Linked DNA regions of Tamandua tetradactyla. The protein of the gene in region 3 purifies or fractionates together with the protein of the main gene of each other region. This does not show direct contact. Links are inferred from orthologs where the notes say so. Each region holds a gene or a part of one and is shown on either strand. Other genes may lie near its edges.

Evidence for each region.
Region 1: the proteins of MYH9 (region 3) and ACTB purify together in Homo sapiens (affinity purification with western blotting; 4 studies listed by BioGRID and IntAct, with this or other methods). This does not show direct contact. The link is inferred for Tamandua tetradactyla from reciprocal best matches to the Homo sapiens genes MYH9 and ACTB.
Region 2: the proteins of MYH9 (region 3) and UBE3A purify together in Homo sapiens (affinity purification with western blotting; 3 studies listed by BioGRID, with this or other methods). This does not show direct contact. The link is inferred for Tamandua tetradactyla from reciprocal best matches to the Homo sapiens genes MYH9 and UBE3A.

What each region holds. Positions count from the first base shown.
Region 1 is NC_135349.1:4,685,514-4,693,456, forward strand, and holds the start of ACTB (actin, cytoplasmic 1), read right to left. Parts: upstream 3,004-7,943; 5' UTR 2,905-3,003; intron 1,855-2,904; 5' UTR 1,849-1,854; coding exon 1,726-1,848; intron 1,627-1,725; coding exon 1,387-1,626; intron 943-1,386; coding exon 504-942; intron 376-503; coding exon 194-375; intron 68-193; coding exon 1-67. UniProt on the Homo sapiens protein: Actin is a highly conserved protein that polymerizes to produce filaments that form cross-linked networks in the cytoplasm of cells.
Region 2 is NC_135338.1:78,190,467-78,198,055, reverse strand, and holds the start of UBE3A (ubiquitin-protein ligase E3A), read right to left. Parts: upstream 3,004-7,589; 5' UTR 2,436-3,003; intron 2,170-2,435; exon of another isoform or gene 1,332-2,169; 5' UTR 1,265-1,331; intron 1-1,264. UniProt on the Homo sapiens protein: E3 ubiquitin-protein ligase which accepts ubiquitin from an E2 ubiquitin-conjugating enzyme in the form of a thioester and transfers it to its substrates.
Region 3 is NC_135333.1:28,689,466-28,697,156, reverse strand, and holds the start of MYH9 (myosin-9), read left to right. Parts: upstream 1-4,690; 5' UTR 4,691-4,878; intron 4,879-5,566; exon of another isoform or gene 5,567-5,585; intron 5,586-7,691. UniProt on the Homo sapiens protein: Cellular myosin that appears to play a role in cytokinesis, cell shape, and specialized functions such as secretion and capping. Required for cortical actin clearance prior to oocyte exocytosis. Promotes cell motility in conjunction with S100A4.

The sequences.
Region 1 (7,943 bases), on a different chromosome or scaffold from region 3:
TGGACAGCGAGGCCAGGATGGAGCCGCCGATCCACACGGAGTATTTGCGCTCAGGGGGGGCGATAATCTGGGGAGGGAAGGGAGACCGTCAGCCTGAAGATCCTATCCTGGTGACGCAAAGGGCTGGGGGAGGGGCTGGTGCCCAGGCCCCAGACCCGGAGATGAAGGCTCCCCTTGACCACCAGAGACTCACCTTGATCTTCATCGTACTGGGTGCCAACGCTGTGATCTCCTTCTGCATCCTGTCGGCGATGCCCGGGTACATGGTGGTCCCGCCAGACAGCACCGTGTTGGCGTAAAGGTCCTTGCGGATGTCCACGTCACACTTCATGATGGAGTTAAAGGTAGTTTCGTGGATGCCACAGGATTCCATGCCTGGAGGGAGAGAGACTGGTCTTAGCTTCCCTGCACAGCAAGGCAACCCGGGCTGGGGGGGCGTGGGGGGCCTGGCCTTAAGGGGGAGGATGGCGGGAGCAGGGCTAGGAGGCCACGTGGTCACTCACCCAGGAAGGAGGGCTGGAAGAGGGCCTCGGGACAGCGGAACCGCTCGTTGCCGATGGTGATGACCTGGCCGTCAGGCAGCTCGTAGCTTTTCTCCAAGGAGGACGAGGAGGCGGCGGTGGCCATCTCCTGCTCGAAATCCAGGGCGACGTAGCAGAGCTTCTCCTTGATGTCACGCACAATTTCGCGCTCGGCCGTGGTGGTGAAGCTGTAGCCGCGCTCGGTGAGGATCTTCATGAGGTAGTCGGTCAGGTCCCGGCCGGCCAGGTCCAGACGCAGGATGGCGTGGGGCAGCGCGTAGCCCTCGTAGATGGGCACGGTGTGGGTGACCCCGTCGCCGGAGTCCATGACGATGCCCGTGGTGCGGCCAGAGGCGTACAGGGACAGCACAGCCTGGATGGCCACGTACATGGCAGGGGTGTTGAAGGTCTCGAACATGATCTGGAGGGAGAGGGGTAGTGGGGGGCTCGTCATGTCCAGGAGGGGACAGGGACAGCTGGCCACACTGGGGACATGCAGAAGAGTGCAAGGAACACAGTAAAAGTGTGCTGGGGAGGGGGACACGGGGGCAGGGGCTCAGTCCAGGCCTAAGGTGGTGCAATCAGACACACTCCAAGGCAATTTACACCAGCGTCCTTGGCTGCCACCGAGCCAGTGTTAGTACCTAAATCCACAGCACTTTAGGAACACCTAGTAAAAGGGACAGACACCAGAAAGAGGATTCATCTGGGGAAAAAGCAAACAGAACCTGCAGAGTTCCAAAGGAGACTCAGGTCAGAGAAGAGAGTCCTATGGAGAACGGCAGAGAGAAGAACAAGTTGAGAGGAGGGAAGGCACCGCAGGGAGAGGACCGCGGGCCGCCCGGGAGAGGCGGGGAGCACTGACCTGGGTCATCTTCTCACGGTTGGCCTTGGGATTAAGGGGGGCCTCGGTCAGCAGCACCGGGTGCTCCTCCGGGGCGACGCGCAGCTCGTTGTAGAAGGTGTGATGCCAGATCTTCTCCATGTCGTCCCAGTTGGTGACGATGCCGTGCTCGATCGGGTACTTCAGCGTCAGGATGCCTCTCTTGCTCTGGGCCTCGTCGCCCACGTAGGAGTCCTTCTGGCCCATGCCCACCATCACGCCCTACGGAACAAGGGACGGGGTCAGCCCCTGTGCGGGCAGCCCAGACCCCCCCCTGCCCCCGGGACCTCACCCAGCTCAAAGCGGGCCTGGCCGCCCTACCTGGTGCCGGGGGCGCCCCACGATGGAAGGGAAGACGGCCCGGGGCGCATCGTCGCCCGCGAAGCCGGCCTTGCACATGCCGGAACCGTTGTCGACCACGAGCGCAGCGATGTCATCATCCATGGTGAGCTGCGGGTCGGGGGGGCGAGGCCGTGAGCGGGGGAGGGGCCGCCCGCCCGCCCACTTCCGGCCGCCAGAGGGCGCCGGCGCGCGCCCGGCCTCGGGACAAAGGAAGCCCGGCCGGCCGCGCTATTTCCATAAAAGGCAAGTGCGGGTCGCGGCGGCGGCGCCGCGCGGCAGGAAGCCAGGCCCCGCCCCCGCCCGGCGGCCCCGCCCCCGCCCCGCTCAGTTGGGGCTCAGCGGCCACACCCTCGGCGGGGGCGCGGGGCGGCGCGCGCAGGCGCCCTGGAGGCCCGCCGACCCCACCCCTTCCGGGAGGGCCGGCCCCGCCCTCGCCCTGCGCCCCGGCCTGGGCCGTGCACCCCGGCCCTGCCCGCGCCCTTGTCCGGCCGGCGATAGACGGGGGTGCTATGGTGGGGGCAGTGGGGAGCGGGGAGCACGCACTTACGCACGCGCGGTAGCGTCCCAACCCCCACCCCGGCCTCGCTGCGCCCACCCTGGGGACAGGGGACAGCCACCTGCCCGCTTGGACAAAGACCCGGCCGGTCACCGCGGCCTCCCCCCACCCCAGGACTCCTCCAAGCCGCTCGCTACGGGCTCATGGTCTCGGATCCAGAGCTGGGGAGGGAGGTGGAATCCCGCCTGTCGCGGGGTTTGGGGGCGGCTCTCCACGGGCGACGTGGGGCCGCGGCTGGAGACCAAGTGGACGCTGCCACGGGGCGCTGCCTCCAGGGCATGGAGGCGCGGGGACCCTGCCTGGGCGTCGGCCATCAGCGCCCGTGGACCCTCCCTCCGCGCGGGCCATCCGTGCGCGGGGGACCCTGCCTGGGCGCCGGCCATCAGCACGCGGGGACCCTGCCTGGGCGCCGGCCATCAGCACGCGGGGGGACCCTGCCTGGGCGCCGGCCATCAGCACGCGGGGACCCTGCCTGGGCGCCGGCCATCAGCACGCGGGGAACCTGCCTCTGTGCCCGGCCATCAGCGCGCGGGGACCCTGCCTCGGTGCCCGGCCATCAGCGCGCGGGGACCCTGCCTCGGTGCCTGGCCAGAGCGACTTACCTTGGAGGTGGCGAATGTAAACCGGCGGTGGTGGCGGCTGAGCGGCGAGAGGCCTGTACTCGCGGGGTGGACGCGGTGTCGGCGGTGGCTGCGCGTCGCGCCGCCGGGTTTTATAGGGCACTGCCGTGGCCGCTCGAGCCATAAAAGGCAACTTTCGGAACGGCGCGCGCTGATTGGCCCCGCGCCGCTCACTCACCGGCCTCGCCGCACAGTGCAGCATTTTTTTACCCCCTCTCCCCTCCTTTAAAAAAAAAAAAAGGAGCGAGCGAAAGAGCGTGAGCGAGATTGAGGAAGGGAGGGCGGAGGAGGGAGAGAGTTTTGGCGTTAGCCGCCCTTGGGTGCCGGGCCCATGGGCCAGGGGTGCAGGCCTGGGGTCGTCCCCCGGATGGGCAGTGTCCACGCCGGCCCTGCGGGCCAGGCCTGGTTTCAGGCTGCTGGTGTCGCCGCGACCCCCACCCGTGACCCTGTGGGTGTGGATGTCACATGAGCACAGCAGGCCTCGGTGGGCAAGGGGTCAGCATGGAAGCAAGGGCGCTGGTTGCCGCAGGCACGTGCTGAAGTTGCAGCGGCATTGAGGGGGACACAGGCAGGGGACGGTCACAGTCACTCCCCCTTGCCAACATTAGCTCAACTGCCCAGGAGGCCTGGCCTGGGGGTACTCTGGAGGTGTTTGCTGGGCTGGCTGTGGGCTGGGGCCCTTCTCAGACACCTGGGGCTGAGCTTCCCTGGCGGAAAGGCTGCAAGCCTCCCCTGCTGCAGGGAAACTGTTTCCAAGGAGCCAGGCTGCCTCTGACGCCCGCCTGGTCACACCCAGCCTAAGCCGTTAGCTGTTGGGTGGGGTTGGCAGGGCTGACTCTGCCCCCCTTCGAGGCTGGGCCCCTCCATCCATCTTCCGTCATGGACAGCCACAGCTGAGCTGCTTCCCTGGACCATCTGGAGGCCGGGAAGGACTCTGGGGAGGAACGCAATGTGCCAGAGGGGAGTTGGGGGGAGGGCAGTGGTGGGAACCCAAAGCCAGCTGGTCTCAGAGAAGACCCTCTTCTCAACCTTTCTTGCCCTGGGTCTGTGCACCCCACATTGGGCAAGACCCATGTCTCTGGGAATGTTCGGTGGGGGGCGGGGGGCGTCCAAAATGGACAGCCCAGTCCTCTGTCCTAGGGTTCCCAGGTGGGGACACATGAAGATCAGTGTGTGTCAGACAAGCCTGGCGCCCGGGGACTCAGCCTGGAGGACCAGGGGTGGGCTTAACTCGGGGTGACAAGAGGCCACAGGCATTCTTCGTCCCTCTGTCACTGGCCATCTCTGGGCACCCGATGGCGGTGAGAAAGCGGGAGGACCGTCGGCCCTGTGGGGATGGAGAGCCTGCGGCTGGAGAAGAGGTGGCTTGCTCCAGCTCGTTGGATGGGCCTGGGGGCAGGGTAGCACCACAGAGGCCATCCCCAGGTGGGAAGAGAGACCCCCACGCAGCTACAGCAGAGGCCACACGGTCCAAGTCACATGCCAGCCTTCCCAGAGACCTGCCAAGAAGCTGCGGCCACTCCCCCATCCTCGCGTGGGCCTGGGTAAACTTTCCCAGCCTGTCCACTCGCTGCCTCCCGGAGGCTGGCAGCTCTGGCCCTGGCCTTCTTTCTCGATCACGGGCATCTCGCCAGCCACCTCACGACCTGCCAGCCCTGTAATTCACCAGGCCAGGGGGCACCCCTTTGCGCTGCCTGTCGATGAGCCTGGTGGGGTACTGAGTTCGGGGCTACAGGCATAGGGTGGGAGGTTCTTGGGGTGGCTCTGGGCACCGAGTGGGAAACACTGGTCCCTGAGCAGGACCTGGGCTGCCCGCTGGCCTATGGTACCCACTGTCTGCAGCAGCCACTTCCTGGTGATCTCCTATGCATCCTTCAAGGCCCATACCAGAAGGCCCCTTCTTAGAGAGGACTTTAGCATCATTATCCTCCACTTTCCTCCCCACATAAGACAGCTACCCTGGACTAGTATTGGTAATTTGGCTTTTGAGGGTATGTCACTCCCACTTTCCTGCCTTGCTCACGCCCCCCATAACCCCCTCAGGGCCCTGCTCTGTTGAATGAAGAAATGATTGGCTGGGTGTCCTCAGTCCAGACTCTGGGGAGATGAGGGGCCAGAGGGGCTGGGCAGCAAGCCTGGGGCAGGGTGGGATGGGGCCTGGCCAGTAAATGGGCCTGAGCAGAGCAAGAAAGCAGGGGAAGGGGAAAGGGGAAGTGCAGCCTGCTGGGGGAGGGGGAGGAGGGGAGGGAGAGGAAGTGAACAGGTTATTCTTCACTCGGGAACTTTGCCTTTGCGGGGTGGGGTGCGGGGGTGGGGGTGGGGGTTCTGCCGAGACTTGGGGCCGGTTGGGTCCACCATGAACCTGGGGCCCAGCACTGGGTCCCAGGTCTCTTGGTTCCTTCACCCTGCCAGGCCCCAGGCTAGGGTGTCCGTAGCCTTTTGGAGCCAGATTCCCCCACACCCCATGCCCTCTCCTGCCAAACAGCCACCAGCCACCAAGCCCTGGGCCTGCCGGGTAGGCAGCCCAAGCTCCTTTTTTTTCAGAGGGAGGGTCTGGGATAGGGCTGAGCAGGAGAAGAGGCCCCCCTTTTAGACCATGGGCCACAGGAAGGCAGGGACCCCGCAACCAGAGGGCTCTCAGTGAGGGGTAATTGAATGAAGGGGTGAGGCAAAGGGGCTAAGATATTCCAGCAAGCACACCCCCTTTTTACAGATGGGGAAACTGAAGCAGGACTGGTAAAGCACCCAGGGCTTAGGCTCCTGTGTGAAGGGTGCTGAGCTGGGCTCGGGGTCCCCAAAAGCAGTGGCCTCACCTCCTGCCTTATACTGCCCCTCCCTGAGTAAAGCCTGGAATGTCCCAAGGGAATGGGTCCAAAGGTGCTTCCAAACTCTAAATTCCTGGGCCCTGCCTCACTCCTCAGCACTTGTCTCCTGAGGCTCAGAGAGAACAACCACCAGCCTGCAGTCACACAGCAATCCATCCTGAGGGCCTAAGCTTCCTCTCTCCTCTGCCTCTTGCATCCCCACTTTCCCTGTTTGCAGTATGATCTTAAGAAGAAACCTCGGCTCCTTTGAGCAAGTGGACCTCAGGAGTCTTGAGGTCCTGGGAGGGCCTATGCTTGGGGTCCCTCACCTCCTGCCAGACTTCTCAGTCTTCAGGGAGGGGTCAGCTCTTGGACTGCCACCTCCAGGAAGCCTGCCGTGACCTCCTCCTTCCTCTACCATGACTGAGAAGTAGAGACCCAGCCAGAGCTTCTTAAAGGGTAGTTCAGGAAGGCCTCCCTGAGGAGGTGACCAGCCAGCTAGGGGAGGTTGGAGAACAGCCTGGTCAAAGGCCCAGGGGCAGAGAGATGGGCTGTGCCCTGGGCAGCACCCTGGCTGGCTCCCCAGACCTGGCAGCCTCTGCCCCACCACCCAGATTCCCCCACCCCCTAAGGGGTTATCTGGGGGGTGGGAGCTGTCCTGGAGAAACTGGGAACTTCTAGACACTTCATGGGGGAGTTTTTAAAAATCCTTAAAAACTACCCTCTCACTTCCACTCCCCCAGGGCACTCAGAAAAACCTGCCCAGCCTTCCAGGGGGGTTCCCAGACTTGCTTGAATGATTAAAAAAAAAAGAAACAAAAAGCTTCCCTGGGCTTCCCCTCCACAGGCTCACCAGCTATGCCCTTTTATCCCATGAAGGTCCTTGGGCTGACTGTGCCCATTCTCTGGATGAGAAGCCTAGACCCCCCCAGAGAGACCCAGGGGGCTGCAAGGAAGGGGCCCCTTGGGGGCGGGGTGGGGCTGTCCAGGTGAGCTGGGGTGGATGCTCCTGTCCCCTCTCTCGTGTGCACAGCGACCTGCTCACAGCCACCCAGAGGTCACGGCAGCCTCTGGGGCAGAGGATGGGGGGCCAACAGCCACGGCAGGTTCTGGGGACTCCTGGCCCTGCCACCTGGGCTGTGAACCGAGCAGGTGTGACACGTGGCTCCCAGGTGGCCTGGGGCGGTCACTGTATGGAGGGGGACCCCTGAAGTGCCATTTGGGCCCACGAGGGCTGGTGGATGTCAGGGGTTCAACCTCCTCCTGGCTGGGTGGCCTTTTCCCCCCACTTTCCTGCCCAGCCCGGGGGGGGGCTCGGAAATTCCCACAGGTGTTGGGCCACTAGAGGTCCGGGGTGGGGGTGGGGGCACCCCTCCTGAAGAGCCTGAGGAAGTGAAAGGGGAAGGGGGGAAGGAGGTGTTGGGAAAGGACGGGCGGGGTGGCCGCTGACTCACGGAGGCCACTGGCTCCCCCATCTCCCAGCCCAGCCTCCCCTTCCTGGTCTCCCCCCATGTCCGTGAGAGGAGAAGGGAAAGCATAGTGTCTGGGGCCAACCGTGGGCCGGGCCTAGGTCCAGAGCTAAGTGGGAATCTCCCCATTTCTCAGAAGGGCAACCGAGTCCCCGTGAAAGTGAGAGACCTGGCCCTGCAGTTAACAGCCCAGTCTGGCTATTGCTAGACCTTACTGGAATTTGCTGGAACCTGGAATCCAGAACCGGGTGCAAGGCCAAGGTCCATGGAGAGCCTCGAAGGGCCCCACAGAGTCCTTCAGCCTCTGCAGTCACTGCTCTTGGCCCCATACTTCAGATGGGCAAACTGAGGCTCAGAGTGGCCAGGGACTTGGCTGAGTGGTGGCAAAACCTGCACCCAGCCACCCTGGGCCTGGCAGTGGGAATCACGCTGGGCCCCTCGTGCAGGCCTCCTCAGCTGGCACCGGCTGCTTCGGTGTGGGGCGTGGTATCTGTCCTAGTGGGAATCCGATCGGCTGTACCACATAATCAGGCTCTCCTCGGCCAGAGGTTTCTGCCATCTGCTGGGCTCACCAGAACCCGAGCTGGCCCCGTGCCAGCTGCTGGGGACACGGTGGTGACTACTGAATGCCACACAGGGCACCAGGCAAGGTCTGAAGAGGCCCCGGGCCCATCGAGGCTCAGGGAAGGATCCCAGAGGCAACCCCAGGCTTGGGTTTTGCTTTTTGTTGCTGTTGTTTTTAATATAT
Region 2 (7,589 bases), on a different chromosome or scaffold from region 3:
CTTAATCCTCAAAAAAACCCTGAGGTAGCTTTAGCCATCCCATTTTACAGATGACAAAACTGAGGCTCACCAAGATTAAATGACTTGCCAATCGTGAGATTGCTGGAATAAGGCCACAATTAAAAACAGGGTCTAATTTCCATTACAGATACTATGAGAGCTCTGATTATATTTTATCTTCACAGTTGGAGTGGGGTGAAAATTATCAAAACCAACCAAAACTCTGTTTCCTGAACCATCAAATTGTCCAACCTTTATTCAAGTAGTTTATTTAAAAAGCTACTTTGGAAAATTTAGCTTCACTATGAATTAGAAAGCTGATTTTTTAAAAACTGCATATGCATTTAATATAATGTTTATTATAGGTCTATATATAAGAGTGCATGGGGAACATAACCAGTAAGGACTTAAGAAACATTTGGATACATCATTTCAACTTGGATTGAAAAGTTTACAGACAGTTTTGAAACATTTCACTGCTTGCAATATTGAAAACAGCAAATTATTTCGGATTTTTTCAAAGGAAAGTGAGAAGGGTATTAAAATAGAAATAACCTCAAGTTTCAGAAATCTTAGCTATTAAAATCTCACAGGTCACAGACATTTTAGGCACCCAATAAATCTTAGTAAGTATACTGGGGAAGTGGGATGACAATGTGTTAATATGTTATATGTCAAACACACTGCAGGTACACAATAAATTTTGTTGAAGGGACTGGGCAAGTGGGATGAGAAGTGTTCTCAAACCTCTGACTAGTAAGTACCCGTACTTAAGAAATTAATTTTAAGCCATGAAAAAGTTTCAATATAAGAAAGATAAAATAAAAACACCTTACATAATATCTGAAAAGACATAAAAGCACTATATTTTTATTTTTATAAATTATAGGCAGATTCCTCAGGGATGGGACAATGTCCAGAAAATGACGTACATACTACCACTCACAACAGTTAATAAATAGTGACACAGTAAGACTTCCGTAGTTTACATTTTAATTTTGTAAATGAGTTATTCATTTAAGTTTTTACTTTTTTGTAATGCTTAATAGTGTTTATTTAAAGCACTTCTTGTCAGCCTTAGGACTCTTCAAAAGCATCATTAATATTGCATTCATCTCATTAAAAATGCTATATATACCTTAGACTTAAGAGTCGGGGTCTAATTCCAAAGCTCTCTCATGCATATGACAAAACTTCTCTTCTTTTCTCCTGAGTTGTAGATTTTATTTCATGGCTTGAAAATAATTTAAGTAAGGGTACTTACTAGTCAGAGGTGTGAGAACACTTCTCATTCCACTTGTCCAGTCAATTCAACAAAATTTATTGTGCACCTGCGGTGTGTTTAACATGTAACATTTTAATGCTTGTACTTCTTAAACTTTAGGTCATTTCTAGTTCACCTTCCTTCTCCCCACCCCCAAAATGTCTGGATAATTAGTTGCTTCTCTCAAATACTGCAGGAAATGGAATGATGTAAAATTATTGGTTAAATTCATATTTCATCATCACCGAGGGTTAACTTTGGACAATAAATCCCATCTGCTATTAGTTTACTTTATTAACAGCATTTTAGCCACTTAATTAGAATTCTAATCAGATTCTGTATTGTCTCTATTTTAGCACACCCATAAGAAGTTTTTAAAAATTTAGAGACTAAATTATCTTTCTAGGACGCTAAACTTAACCAAACAATGTCTGTACTACATCTATTTTTAAAACCCTAATGGCCTAAAGCATTTGTCGTATTCGATTTTGGCTTTTCCAATCAAAACCTGCACACCAAAATGAGCAAAGTTCCCTTCCCATTCTCTCAATTAAAAGGAAAAAGAAAAAAGGGGGTGGGGAGCAATTATTTGCAGGTCTGCATTTAATACATTCTCTGGCAAACCCACTAACTCGCATTCAACTTTAGAATCTTGGCAACGAGGAACACTTGAACAGTCTGTGAACGCAACCCTGAGGCTTGACACGCCAGTTCCTCCGTCGTCTTCCCTTCCCATCAGTCCACCTCCCCAAACCCCAATTCACCAAGCATACGCCTGAAGATTTCTTCACCAAGAGAGTCCAAGACCTCGAAAACATCGAGAGCGCTTCCCTTGGCAGGGAAAGGACAGCTCTTTCCTGACCTGGACCCTGGCTCAGCCGGCCTTTCAGCGAGCCAGGCCTGCTCTTGCAGTCCTGGACGCCCCACCCCAGGCTCGCTCCTGTACCCTCAGGCAACAAAACCCTCCCTTCCGCGCAATCAGGACTGACAGTTACAGAGGCAGCAAGCTCTGCCAGAAGGGGCCTAATTCTTGCACCGGCCCCCCGAGACTACGCGCCCCCAAATACTCACCCTGGCGAGAGGTGGAGGGTTCAGCCCGAGAGGACAGAGGAAAGAAGGCCGCGCCCCACTCCGCCTGGCCCACCCGCTAGGCCTCTGACAAGACACTGACCTGCCGTCGCTCCCGCGCTTGGGCCGCGGACCTCGTAGCGGCAGCCGACTCACTGGTCGTCGTCGCCCTCTCCCGCCGTCTCCGCCCGCCGCCTCCGCCCGCCACCGCCTCGTTCCCCTTCGCTGCCGCCGCCACCGCCGGGGCTCATGCGGGACCCGCGCTTCCTTCTTTGGAGGCCGAGGCCGGCAAAGTGGCTAGGGACGCCGAGGACCCCACGCTCGTCGCCAGCTGTTGCTCTACCGCTGCCTGTCCACACCGGGGGGGCTGCGGGCCTGACTGGCCGGGGATAGGCCGCGAGCCGCTCAGAGACCGCCGGGAGGAGAAGCCGAAGGAGGCGCCGCCGCCCGCGGCCGAAAGAACCGGATCGGCGGAGGCGAAGCAGAAGGCGGCAGCGGCGGCAGCTGTCGGGCGCCGGGCCGGTGGCTGGCTACGTGGCGGCGGGGTGCGCGAGCGAGCGGAGGGCGGGTTATCGGTGCCCTGTCGTTTCCTGCAGTCACCCCGAGCCCAGCGCCACCATCTTGGGAGAAACACAGAACTCGCGGCCGCAGCGCAAGCCGGGAGGACTGGATGGGCGGGCTGAGTATCCCGGCAGGCTGCGCGCGCCGCGGCCTGGAGAAGGCTCCGGTCGGGGACGCGGGGACGCGGGGCGGGGCCGGGACGCAGGCGGGAGGGCTCCGCGCCGCAGCCTCTCCCAACCCCACCGTCTTTCCTAGCCCGCTCCGGTTGCCGCCGTCCGCCGCGCGCACACACACACACACACACACACACATACACACACACACACATACACACACACACACCTCAGTGCAATCGCCGCCGGCGCAGGGATCGCTGGGAAGAGGAGGTATCCCGCGGCTACGCTGAACCTCTCGATGTTCCGTCGCCATCTTGGAACTAGGCCGGAGAAGCAATTCTGCCACCGAGCCGGGCTGTCAGCGATGCAACAGAAAGCGGAGGAGATACTTTCCGGAAACCTCCTTAGTCTTTAGGAGGGTTGGAGAGCCCCCTTGTCCACCCACCCGAGAAACGTGCTGGGACTTGGTCGCCCCTGTTTTGTCTGGAACGAGTCGTCTCCAAAAGGCAGCAGAGATGGCACTGATAGCCCCCAGCCCCGAGGCGGGATAGAAACCTCCTTCCCTGCTAGATCTTTGATCCCATCCTCTTTCTACCTGAAGCCGCCCATGTAAACACTGCGAATGTAGCCCGAGAGTGTGGGCCAGCTTTCAGAGGCCAAGGTCATCTGCTTAGTCCTCTTGCTTATTACAGGATGTGTCACTAGTTTACAAAAGAAGAAAAGGTAAAAGTCAGTTAACTGCAGTACTGATACATGTAGGTTGTCTCTGAAGAGATGTGGCGTCTTGGTTGACTCCAGTTGCTGTGTTGAGGTTAATTTTGATCCTACTGACAACTGAACCTATTTAAAGCCATGCAAATTGAAATCATATTTGGCATCAGGGTCCTCGTCTTATTTTAAAGAGATTATTTATGGCTTTGTAATACTTGATAACAAAGCTGTAATGATATCATGAACAATTAATACTCCTACAGGTTTTCAACTTTGCCAACAAACTCTTTAAACAGTGTTCCTATTTGATGGTAGCATAACATTGTGCATATAATTAGCAGTAGAGAAATATAGATCTGAATGTGGCTAAAACGGGAAATGTTAGAATGCAGGTATACAAATAATAAAAATTTTTTTAAATCCATGAAACTATACCACACAAACAGGAAACCCAAAGTTAAACCATGGGCTAAAGTTAATAGTACAATTATCAAAACGTGCCATCATCAATTGTAACAAAGGTTCCACAACAAATGCAAGGTGTTAATAATAAGGTGATATGTGGGAATCCTATATTTTATGCATGATTGTTCTTAAACCCACAACTACTATAATAAAGGGAAAAAGGCACGTTAGAATAAAATATTTGGAAAATTAAGGAAAGCCAGTAAAAAGAATATTGTGTGTTGCTCCATTCAAGCAATATTCAAATTTTTATGGATACAATCATATATAGCAGTATAGTTTTGTAAGTAATATTATTAGAGTATCCTTTTTTTAATATAGGCAGGAATAATTAATAGAACCCCTCTCCCAACTATAGAATATTTAACCAGCTATTAGAAATAAGCTGAAGACATTTAGATTATTCCAGAATTGAAAGCCATGTCCGATTTTATGATGTTTTAACTTGGGTCCTTATTCAGTTGCTACTTCTATTTTCATTCACTCCAGTTACAGAGCTTCATTTGGAAACTACTTGCAGTTGTATTTTATGGAGGGAAATAATCTTTTAAAGGTTTATATTTATCTTTATTTTGATACATAAGCCAAGAGGAATGAAAATCATTAAAGACTTTCTTGTTAGAACTAAAAGCAAAATGTTACCACTATAACATGTGAAGACACTTTTTAGCTATTCTACTTTCTCTTAAGTAGAACTTGAATAAATGAATGTTTTAAAACTTGATGTATCAAAATGTGTCTGAAATCCCTGAGTTCCAAAAAGGTTAGACTTGAGGGAAATAAATCTACTCTTAGTTAGATGTCTAAATGACTATCCAGTTATTTATTAAGATATTTTGATGTTAGTAGGGCCTCTTTGGAATCTCGGAAATTACTCATAGCCATTTTAGTTCATTAATGTTAAATATGTATTCTTGTGTGTGAATTAGCACCTGGGAGACTCATAGCCTAAACCTTTTAGTTCATTAATTGTCTCCCATTTAGACCCATGTTTTTCTTCAGGTGTGTCTTCCCAAAAAAATTACTTGGTATCTAGTAAGTGAGCAGTAAATTTTTTAGACTATTTTAGTTAAAATGAGATCCAGTCATTTCTAATGATTTTCTCATTTCAGGTGTAAAGTGAAAGTGTAATTTAATTTTTTTCAGCATAATGCGTTAATTCCTTAAACAAACTTTGAGCTTGTACTATTTACAAAATACTGTGCCAGGCCTTGAGAAAGAATAAAAGATCAATAATCCCTATCCCTGTCCTTAAGAGCTCACAGTTCAAGGGGAAGTCATACCTGGCCACAGTAAAACTGTGGACAGTTTATCAGAGTAATTCAGTTCTTTAATGATCATGAGAGAATTCACTAATACATTTTTTTTTAATCATCTTGCTGTAAATTTCTGGTTGTATTAGTTGCCTAGGGCAGCGATAGAAAATTACTACATCCTGGGTGGTTTAAAACAACAAATTTATACTTCTACAGTTCAGAAGGCTAGAAGTCCAAAACTTGGGTATTGGCTGGGTTGGTTTCTTCTGGAGGCTCCAAGGAAGAAACGATCCCATACTTTTCTAGCTTCTGATGGTTGCCTTGGTATTCTTTGACTTGTAGACGCATCCCTCAGGTTTTACCTCCATCTTTATATCGTCATCATCTCTGTATCTATCTGTGTGCTCTTCTCGTCTTTTAAAGACACCAGTTATTAGATTTGGTAAGATTTTATCTCAAGATGCTTAACAAATTATGTCTGCAAAGACCTTATTTCCAAATAAGGTCATATTCTGAGATTCTGGTTAGGCTTGGATTTAGGGGACACTGTTCAACCTACTACACCGGTGATGTTAAAATTTTCATAGGGCTATTTTGGTTCTTTAGCTTTCTTATTAATGGGAGTTACAACAGATTAATTAAAGTGTAAAAACATGGGCAGGCCACAGTGGCTCAGCAGGCAAGAATGTTTGCCTGCCATGCCAGAGGACCCAGGTTCGTTTCCTGGTGCCTGCCCATGTAATAATAAAAAAAAAATGTAAAAACACTATTACTCAGCATGCCCCTGGATCAGGATTAAGCTGAGTGCCTGGATGAAAAGAGGGTCAGATATGGTGGGGTAAAGTCACTGTTGCATACGTTACTTGGTAATAACACTTGTTTTTAGGCTACATCAAAATGTTCAATTCCCAACTATTGAAAGAAACTAAGCTTTCATTATCTGATTCGCTCCCTATATTTAACTAATGTTTTTGAAGCAAAATTAGTTCCATGTAGAAGAGTACCTGGCACATGGTAATTATGCACTAAATGTTAATGCTTGCTGTCTCTGTAAACCAACATGGCAGGTGAACTCTCTGTGCTCCCCCCTACCTGGGGCATGTCTCCCAGAGGTGTGAATCTTCTTGGCAGCGTGGGACTTGACTCCCAAGGATAAGCTGGAACCTGGCATCATGGGATTGAGAGGGCCTTCTTGACTTAAAAGGGGAAGAGAAAAATGAGACAAAGTTTGAGTAGCTGAGAAGTTTCAAACTAAAGAATCAAGAGGTTTTCCTGGAGGTTGTTCTTATGCATTATGTAGATAATCTTTTTGGTTTATGTTACATTGGAGCGACTAGAGGGAAGTACCTGAAACTGTTGCGCTATGTTCCAGTAACCTTGATTCTTGAAGACGATATATAGTTTTTACTGTGTGTAACTATATATAGTTTTTACAATTGTGAAACCTGGTGACTGGCACTCACTTTATCCAGTGTAGGGGCGGATGAGTAAAAAAATAAGTATAGGAAATAAATAATAGAGGGGGAATGCGGGGTAAAAAAAATTGGGGTTAATTGCAATACTGATGGTCAATGGGAGGGATGAGTGTGGGATATGGGATGTATGGGCTTTTTCTTTTTCCTTATTTCTTTTCTTGCAGTGGTACAAGTGTTCTAAAAATGGACAACTATGTGGTAATGTTATGGGCCATTGATACTTTGGATGGACTGTATATGTGTGAAGATGAATGTGAATATTATCGATATCATTATTTACCATTACACACTTCACAGCTTTACACCTCCACCCTTACCCCTACAGATCTATCTAAATCTGGACACCTCCTTACCTCCTGCCTTCTTCCTTTCTAAGGCAATATTTTTTTTCTTTTTTGGCATGGGCAGGCACCGGGAAATTAGGCCTTTTTTTTTTTTTGTCTTGTTAACACTTCATCATTCCATCTCCAGTCAATAATCTCTCCTGCTCTACTGAATTTGTTCCCTTGTATTTATAAGAATTTTCTGTGCTTAAATTGCCACTTCCTTCCAAGGCCCTCTTCAACTACTAAAATTAGGCTTCTGCCCCCATTTTACTCCACTTTGCTTGTGTTAATGTCACTAATGGCAGAACAGCCAAATGCAAAACACAGTTTTGCTTGTAACTAACATT
Region 3 (7,691 bases):
GATAGACCACATTCATTCAAGTGATGGAAATTTGGGTCATCTCTGGCCTCACATGTAACAGTAGTATGTACTTTTTTCCCTTTCTTTTTAGTGTGTACATTTTAATTGCTGTGTAGTATTTCATTGTATGAACATACTCAGTATATCCATTCTGCTGTTGATGGGCATTCCCCCCTAGTTTTTGGTTATTTTAAGAGACTCTGTCCATTTTTGTACCTGCCTTTGGTGGGTTCAGTACTTGTCTCTGTTGAGTACAGACTCAAGAGTGGAATTCTTGGGTCCTAGTATATGCTGTATATTCAACTCTAGTAGATACAACCAAACACTTTTTCCAAAATGGCTGTACCAATTTATGCCACCACAGTGTCTGAGAGTCCCAGTTGCTCCCAGTCCTTGCCAACACTTGGCATTTTAATTTTAGTCATTCTGATGAGGGAATAGTGGTATCTCATTGTGGTTTTAATTAGCAATTCTGCCATGACTAATCATGTTGAGTACTTTTTCATATGCTGGCCATTTGGATGCCCTTTTTTTTTGATGTGCTGCTCATTCAAATGTTCTGTTCATTTTTAAAAATTATCATTTTTTCTTATTGTAGACATTCTTGATAAATTCTGGGTCCCATCCTTTGTTACCTTTATATATTGTAGACATTTTCTTCCAGTTTGTGATCTGACTTTTCAGTCTTTTACTTGTGTCTTTTGATGAGTTCTTCATTTTAATGAAGTTCATGTTGACAATCTTGTCTCATAGTTAATACTTTTTTTGTTATGTTTAAGAAATTGTTGCCTACTTCAAGGTCATGAACATATTCTTGAACAGTTATTTTCAGAAGGTTTATTGTTTATTTTTCATATTTAGGTCTCTGATCCATCCTAAATTATTTTCATGTATAGTGTAATGCAGGGGGTCGAGATTAATTTTACCCCCATGGATATGTAGTTGATCCAGCACCATTTACTAAAAAAATTATCCATTCCTTACTTATTTGCAATGTGCTAACTTTGTAATAAATCAGGTGGTCATATATATGTTTGCATCCTCCAATTTTATTTAAAATATATAGAATATATGCATATATACTTGTACATATGTGCGCACACTTACAGATGTGTGTGTGTGTGTGTGTGTGTGTGTGCATTGGAAGGAAGTAACAAGGTTTGTTAATAGTTGCTACATAAGGCTATATGTGGTTTCAATTTTCTTTCTTTTTATTACTTTCTGCATCAAATATAACATTCAGACAAAACAGACGAAATATTTTTCTAAAATATTCTGGGAGTGGAAAGGATCAAAGGTACAGGTTTTTAGAGGTTGGAGGAGGGGTTAGGCTGGATGGCAAGGAGGAGGGCTTCCTTATTCAGGAAAGCATCAAGGTGTGGCAGACCTTCTATCTTCTTAATGACCTCAGTTACAAGGAAAGAGTGGGGCTAGGAGGCTGGAGGCTTGAGGTAAATGGAAATATTATTATCAATAATGTGTACTGATTAGCAGTCATGGTCCCCTATGCTTCTTTCAGCAGTCCTAGGGGTGAGTCAAGTCCTGGTGATTACACTGATTTTATGGATAAGAAAACAGAGGCTCAGAGACCTGCTCAGGCATGCATTGAGGACCATGTTATGCAAGACAAATAAGGCACAGCCCCTGTCTGTCCTCAGGTAGCTTCCAGCCTGGGTAGGGAAAGAGCAAGTAAATGGTTTAAAGTTTAAAATCCAGTGTGTAAGTGCTAGAAGGAAGGTAAATGCTTGTAATGTGGGATCACAGAGAGGCACCCAACCTGGCCTGGAGGGCCAGGGAAGACATCTGGGGAGAGGGGATATCGAAATGAGTCTTTTTAATCTTTTCTTAATTATGTGAGTGATACATATGTTTAAAAATACAGATAAGAAAAAATCAATCACAGTCCCTCTATCAATACATAATCCCTATTTACACTTTGATGAAATTAATGCCTTTTAAACTTAATTCTTTCTCTGAGAAAAACACATACATATGCAAACACATACAAAATTGCATAGAAATAAATGAAATTCCACTACAGTAGCATTCTATAGTTTATTCTTCCTCAGTATATTTTAAACCAATATATACAAATTTACATAACAATTTAAATGCCCTTTTGTGGTATTTTTAAACATATAGATGTATCAAAATGTAATCAATCTCTTACTATATTAATTCATTTATAACATTTAGAGACTATAAACAATGTTGCAAAGAAGAACTTTTTAACACACTGTGATGGTTAGATTCTTGTGTCAACTCGGCCTCCTGATGATGCCCAGTTGTCTGGTCAAGCAAGCACTGGCCTAATGGTTGCTGCAAGGATATCTGATGGCGGGTTGATAAGCCAGAAGGCTGGTTTATTAAATCAGCAGTCAGTTGATTGCAGCTTACTATCAACTAAGAGAGTGCCTCCTCCCAAATAAGTTAATCAAATCACCTGGATTTGGACCTATCAGTTGAAGACTTTAAAGGAAGGAGAGAGAATTTTCACTGTTTATTCAGTCAACAAGCCTCTCCTGTGGAGTTCGTCAAGACTTCTTCGGAGCTGCCAGTGTCACAGCTTGCCCTATGGATTTTGGGCGCTTCCATTTCCATGGTTGTGTGAGACACCTTTAAAATCTCATATTTTACAGATATCTCCTGCTGGTTCTGTTTCTTTAGAGAGCTCTAATACACAAATATCTGTGCATGTCTCCATTTTTGTCTTAAGATGAATTCTCAGAATTCTTTGGTCAATTTACTTTTCCACTGTGTTTATCAACTTGGCTAACTGGACATTTTTCTTCTTTTTTTTAATTTGGTAAGTGAAAATGGCATCCATGTTGTTTTTGTTCCGTTTTCTGATACTTAATTTTAAAAATTATTAGCCATTTATATTTCTTCATTTTGGATTGCCCGTTTTTGGCCATTTTTATTTTGGAGTTTTTTTGGGTTTTCTTATTGACTGGAAAGAGTTCCTATTATTGATAATAAGTCTTTGTCACAGAGTTGCAAACTCTTTTTTTTCTTTAGAACATAATTTTTTTTTCCTGAATTTCATTTGGGAGAACAGTTAGTCATAAGAGCAAGGCTATTCCACAGCAAACAGTAATGAGGAGAAATCTGCTCTCTCAGATATTGTATTAGTTTGTTAATTCTGCCAAAATATACCAGAAATGGAATGGGTTTTAATAAGAGAATTTAATAAGTTACACATTTAGTTCTAAGCCAGGCCATAAAAATGTCTAAACTAACACATCCAAGCAAAGATACCTTGACTCAAGAAAGGCCAATGTCTGTCACATGGGAAGGTCAGCTTCTGATGCCAGTGGTTTCCTGTCTACGCATCTGTGGGCTTTCACTTAGCTCCTCCAGGACACAACTCTGGGTTCTGGCTTGCTTAGCATCTTATGTGAAAGCGCGTGGTGTGTGCATCTCTGTCAGCTCTGAAGCAACTGTTCTCCCAGCATCTGCATCTGAGGTTTCTCCAAAATGTTTCTCTTTTTAAAGGACTCTAGTAAACTAATCAAGACCCACCTTGAATGGGTGTGTCACATTTCCATGGAAGTAAACCCAAGTTTCCCACCCTAAACAATAGGTCTGGCACCACAAGATTGGATCAGGATTAAAATATGGCTTTTCTGAGGGCACATAGTAGTTTCAAACCATCACAGATATAAAATGTATTATAAACCTGCAATGAGCTGGCACAGGGAAGATTAACAGACAAAACTCAGAAACATCCAAGTATATACAAGTTCAGCATATGATGAAGGTGGTACCTGAAATCAGTAGAGAAAATGGTGTTTGGACAACTATCACAAAAATCACGTCGGATTTCTTCACTCTAGAACCAAAATAAATTCTAAGTAGACTAAAAGCTAAGTGTATATAAATTTAGAAATTAAAAAATAGAAAAAATAATAAATAGTTATCATCTTTGGTGAAAAGTGATTCGCTTACCCAAAAGAGCCAAGAAAACATTTTGTAAGCGAACAGAGGAGTGGAAAGGCATTCCAGGCAGAGGGACTGAGCAAATGTCTGGAGACTCCAAGAAGCAAAGCAGCGTGCTTTACTCTAAATAGCCAGGGTCAGGAATCGAACTCCGGATGCCCACAACGGAATCCGGGACTGAGTCCACGCCCGCTCCCACAGGCCATAATAATTTTGTAAAATAGCACTTTTTCCATATATGGTACTTAATATCTGTTCTTCTGGTAGGATGACATAGGACAGGGAAAAAACAGCCCGCGGGGCCGGGCGCCAGCTACGCCAGCCTCCCCTGTCCGCTCCCGCCGGGCCTGCCCCAGCGCAGGCAATGCACCAAAGCCGGGTTCCGGAGCCGTCCGCGCCCGGAGCCGCCTCCTCCTGATTGGACGCTCACTGCGTCAATCCTCCTCCTCGAACCTGGCTGTCCGTTGGACCCGCCCTTGGAGGGCGGGGCTCCCGCCTAGGAAGCGCGGGGGAAGGTGGAGCGGGTGGAGCTGGGGGCGGATGGGGAGGACCAGTCCCCACCCTTCTGATCCAGGGGCTCCGCCCACCCCACTTTCCACAGGTCAAGATGTCCTTCCATCAAGACCCGGCGCATACAGGAGTGGGCGAGACAGCTTAGGGGCGGGGCCTTTCCTCCCTGCTCCGCTCACTAGCCGGCTTCGGACTGGGAATGGACCGGCGACTGAGAGGGCGGGGCAGGGGGGGCGGCGAGGATCCGAGCTGGGTGCGGTGAGGCGCGCAGATCACCGCGGTTCCTGGGCAGGGCACGGAAGGCTCGGCGAGGCTGACCTGCTGCCGCTCCCGCCTCGCGCGTTCGCCCCATCCCGCCGCCACCCGAGCGCTCGAGAACGCTCCCTCGGGAGAAGCATCGCCTGTTCCCCGGGGCTCCTCCAGGTCCAGGTGAGCGAGCCCCACCGGCGGGTCCCGCCCTGGGCCGGCGGGCGGGGGCGGCGGCGATGGGGCGCGCGGCGTCAGGGGCGCGCGGGCCGAACTGTGGTTGTCGGCCCCGGCGTGGCCCGCGACCGGCGCGGGCGGGCGCGAATGCCGGCGACCCCGGACCGGGCAGCGCATCCTCTCCGGAGGGACTGCGGGACCCCTGCGCGGGTGCTAGGGGACGGCGCCCCTGGGAGCGAGGCCTCCGGGAGCGGAGGAAGTCTTCGGTGCCGCGCGCTCCCGGGCCACGGTTCCCTCCCTCCCGCTGCCGGGCACGTCCCCCCCGCCCCGGCACTTGGGGACCCCGACCTCGTCCGACCGCCGGGGGCACGCGCCCCGCTCTCCCCTCGCCCAGTGCCCAACTTGGTAGAACTTTTTTAACCTCTTCCGGGGAGCCGTTGCCCCTTGGACCCAGCCGGGCGGGTGGAGGTGCTGTGGGGGACTCGAGCAGTCAGGGCTCCGGGCAGGGGCTCCTTTGGAAGTTTCCATGCGTTTTGGGGACGGAGGTAACGGGCGGGAGGAGACCGTTTGGCAGCTGTCAGGGCGGCCTCCTGAGTCAGAATGGGACAATCCCGCCGCAGACATTGCGCTCGGCTCGGTTTCCGCCCTGGGCTGCAGACTTCCTCATTCGCCCTGCTGCGAAGGGTCGGGCCCTGGAGGAGGGCGGAGGAGAGGTACGGAGGGGTGCGTGGGGAAGGGGGACCCGGCAGGGACGCGGCCGCGGCGCAGGAAAGAACACCCACCCCCCCCAACCTTTGACTGCTATTGCCGGGGAGAGGAAGGAAACCTCGGAATGCACGCAGCCGTCGGGCCGGCCTAAGCGTGCACCTGATTCCTCCGCACCCGCGGCCGCCCCGCCCGGGCCATGCGGCTAGAAGCGGCATCCTGTTCCTTTAGGTCCAGGTTTGGGTTATCGCATCTTGTCTGCTTGGGCCGGATCCAGGGTTTTGAACCCCTCCTCCCACTCCCTGTGCTGGAGTCCTCATCCCATCCCCGTCCTGGGGCCACTCCAAGGCCCCGGGTAGGACCAGAGCACCCCAGTTCCCTTCACGATGCCCATTGTTCACACTGAAACGTAGTGACTTCCAGGGCTGAAGCTCGCCTGCTGCCTTGAAGGTGGTAGTGGTGGTGGTGGTGGGGTGAGAGCCAGGACTGCTGCCGGCGCCCCACCCAGCCGGTGTGAAGGAGAAGGTTCCTGGGAAGTCCCAGGTCCGGAGGACGGCTGATTTTAGGGCCCCAGACGCTTCTCGGTTCACCGAGCCCTCTCAGCAGGATTTTAGAGTAACTGTTGAAGGGGAAGGAAGCTTAGTTCCTTTTGGGATAACACTATGGCCATTTCTGAGCCGGCCTGAAAACCTCTTGGTGAGGAGGAAAGCTGCTCTAAGGCCTATTTAGACAATCGCCCCACTAATATTTGTCAATTTATATATAAGGCTGCCATGGGTGGGGTGGGGGTACAGAGATGTGTAATTGAGCAAATATTTGACTGGCTTCTCTGCCAAGAACTCTGCCACGGAGTGGGGGTGGGGGTGGGGGTATGTGCAAGGTTGAGTAAGACCTGGCCCCTGCCCTCTGGCATTTAGGGGAGAGCCCAGACAAATCTGTCAATGACTCTAAAGTGAGGTGAGGTGGAGATGACAGGGACCCCAGAAAGGTACTGTGAGTCATGGAGATTGAGAGAAATGATCCAGCTCCCCCCCTCACCCCTGAGTGGAGATCCTGGAGGCCTCTTGGAGGAGGCCTCTGCCATCTGGGAGTTTGCAGTCTTCCAGGGGACATAGTGGCAGAATGACAGGAACACAAAGGCAGCCTGTGATGAGCATCACAAGAATGCCATAGACAAAGGACTCGAGGAATTCCAAGGCCTAGGGAGACTAGTTCTGTGTGAAGGGAGGAGAAAGCAGCTGTGAGGAAGGAGCATGTTGCAGGTTTGGCAAACTGAGGCAAGCATATGGTGTTGGAAAGTGAGGCGTCATCTAGTGGATAATTGGGAGGTAATTAAAAGTGTCAAGATTGCTCAGTGTAATTTGAGAGTCACCGTGTCCCTGGTGGCTGCTGGGTATTGCCAGGCCAGTGACACTGAAGAGCCCCACTCTCCACCTCCAGCAAGTCCTGGTACCTGGAGCTGGGGCTGGCCAGCTAGATTTGGGGAGTTATTCCTGGGAGAGGGGCAATTGGAGAGGTGTATTCTGTGCGGATGCTTGTCCTAAGGCTTGTGAGGGTAGATGAAAGAGGCCCTTTTTGTTTTTAAACTTTTTAATCTGAGGGGTTAGAGATGGGACAACTGCTCTCTTGTAGGATGAAGGATGCATGTAAATCACAGCCTGCCTTTTGCCTGCTCTTGCTTCAAAAAAAAAAAAAAAAAAAAAACCCAAAACAACAAAACAAAGATCTGTTAGCTCCTTAAAAGAAGAAAAGCACACTAAAAAAATGCAGCATTGTTGTGTTGCCTGATAGGGTATTGCTAGAAGCCAGGATGGCTGTGCTTTCTTAACTTCCTCTTCTAGCTAATCCTTCAATAAAGTACTTAAAACAGCCCTTACCAGCTTGATATCTTTATTTCAAAAGGAGAGGAGGGGTTGGCCATAGTATTTCTCTGAGCCTGGGCCCTACCCTTCTTTTGGAGGGAAAGAAAGAGAATCCCAAAGGAAAGGGAAAAAAAAATCCATGCCTTGACAGCTCCCTTCTAAGCATCATGTTCCAAAAATATTTAGAATAACAAAATCTGTGTCGTCTTAATTAAACAAATGTTCTAATTTGCTGAGCATAAAACAGCATCT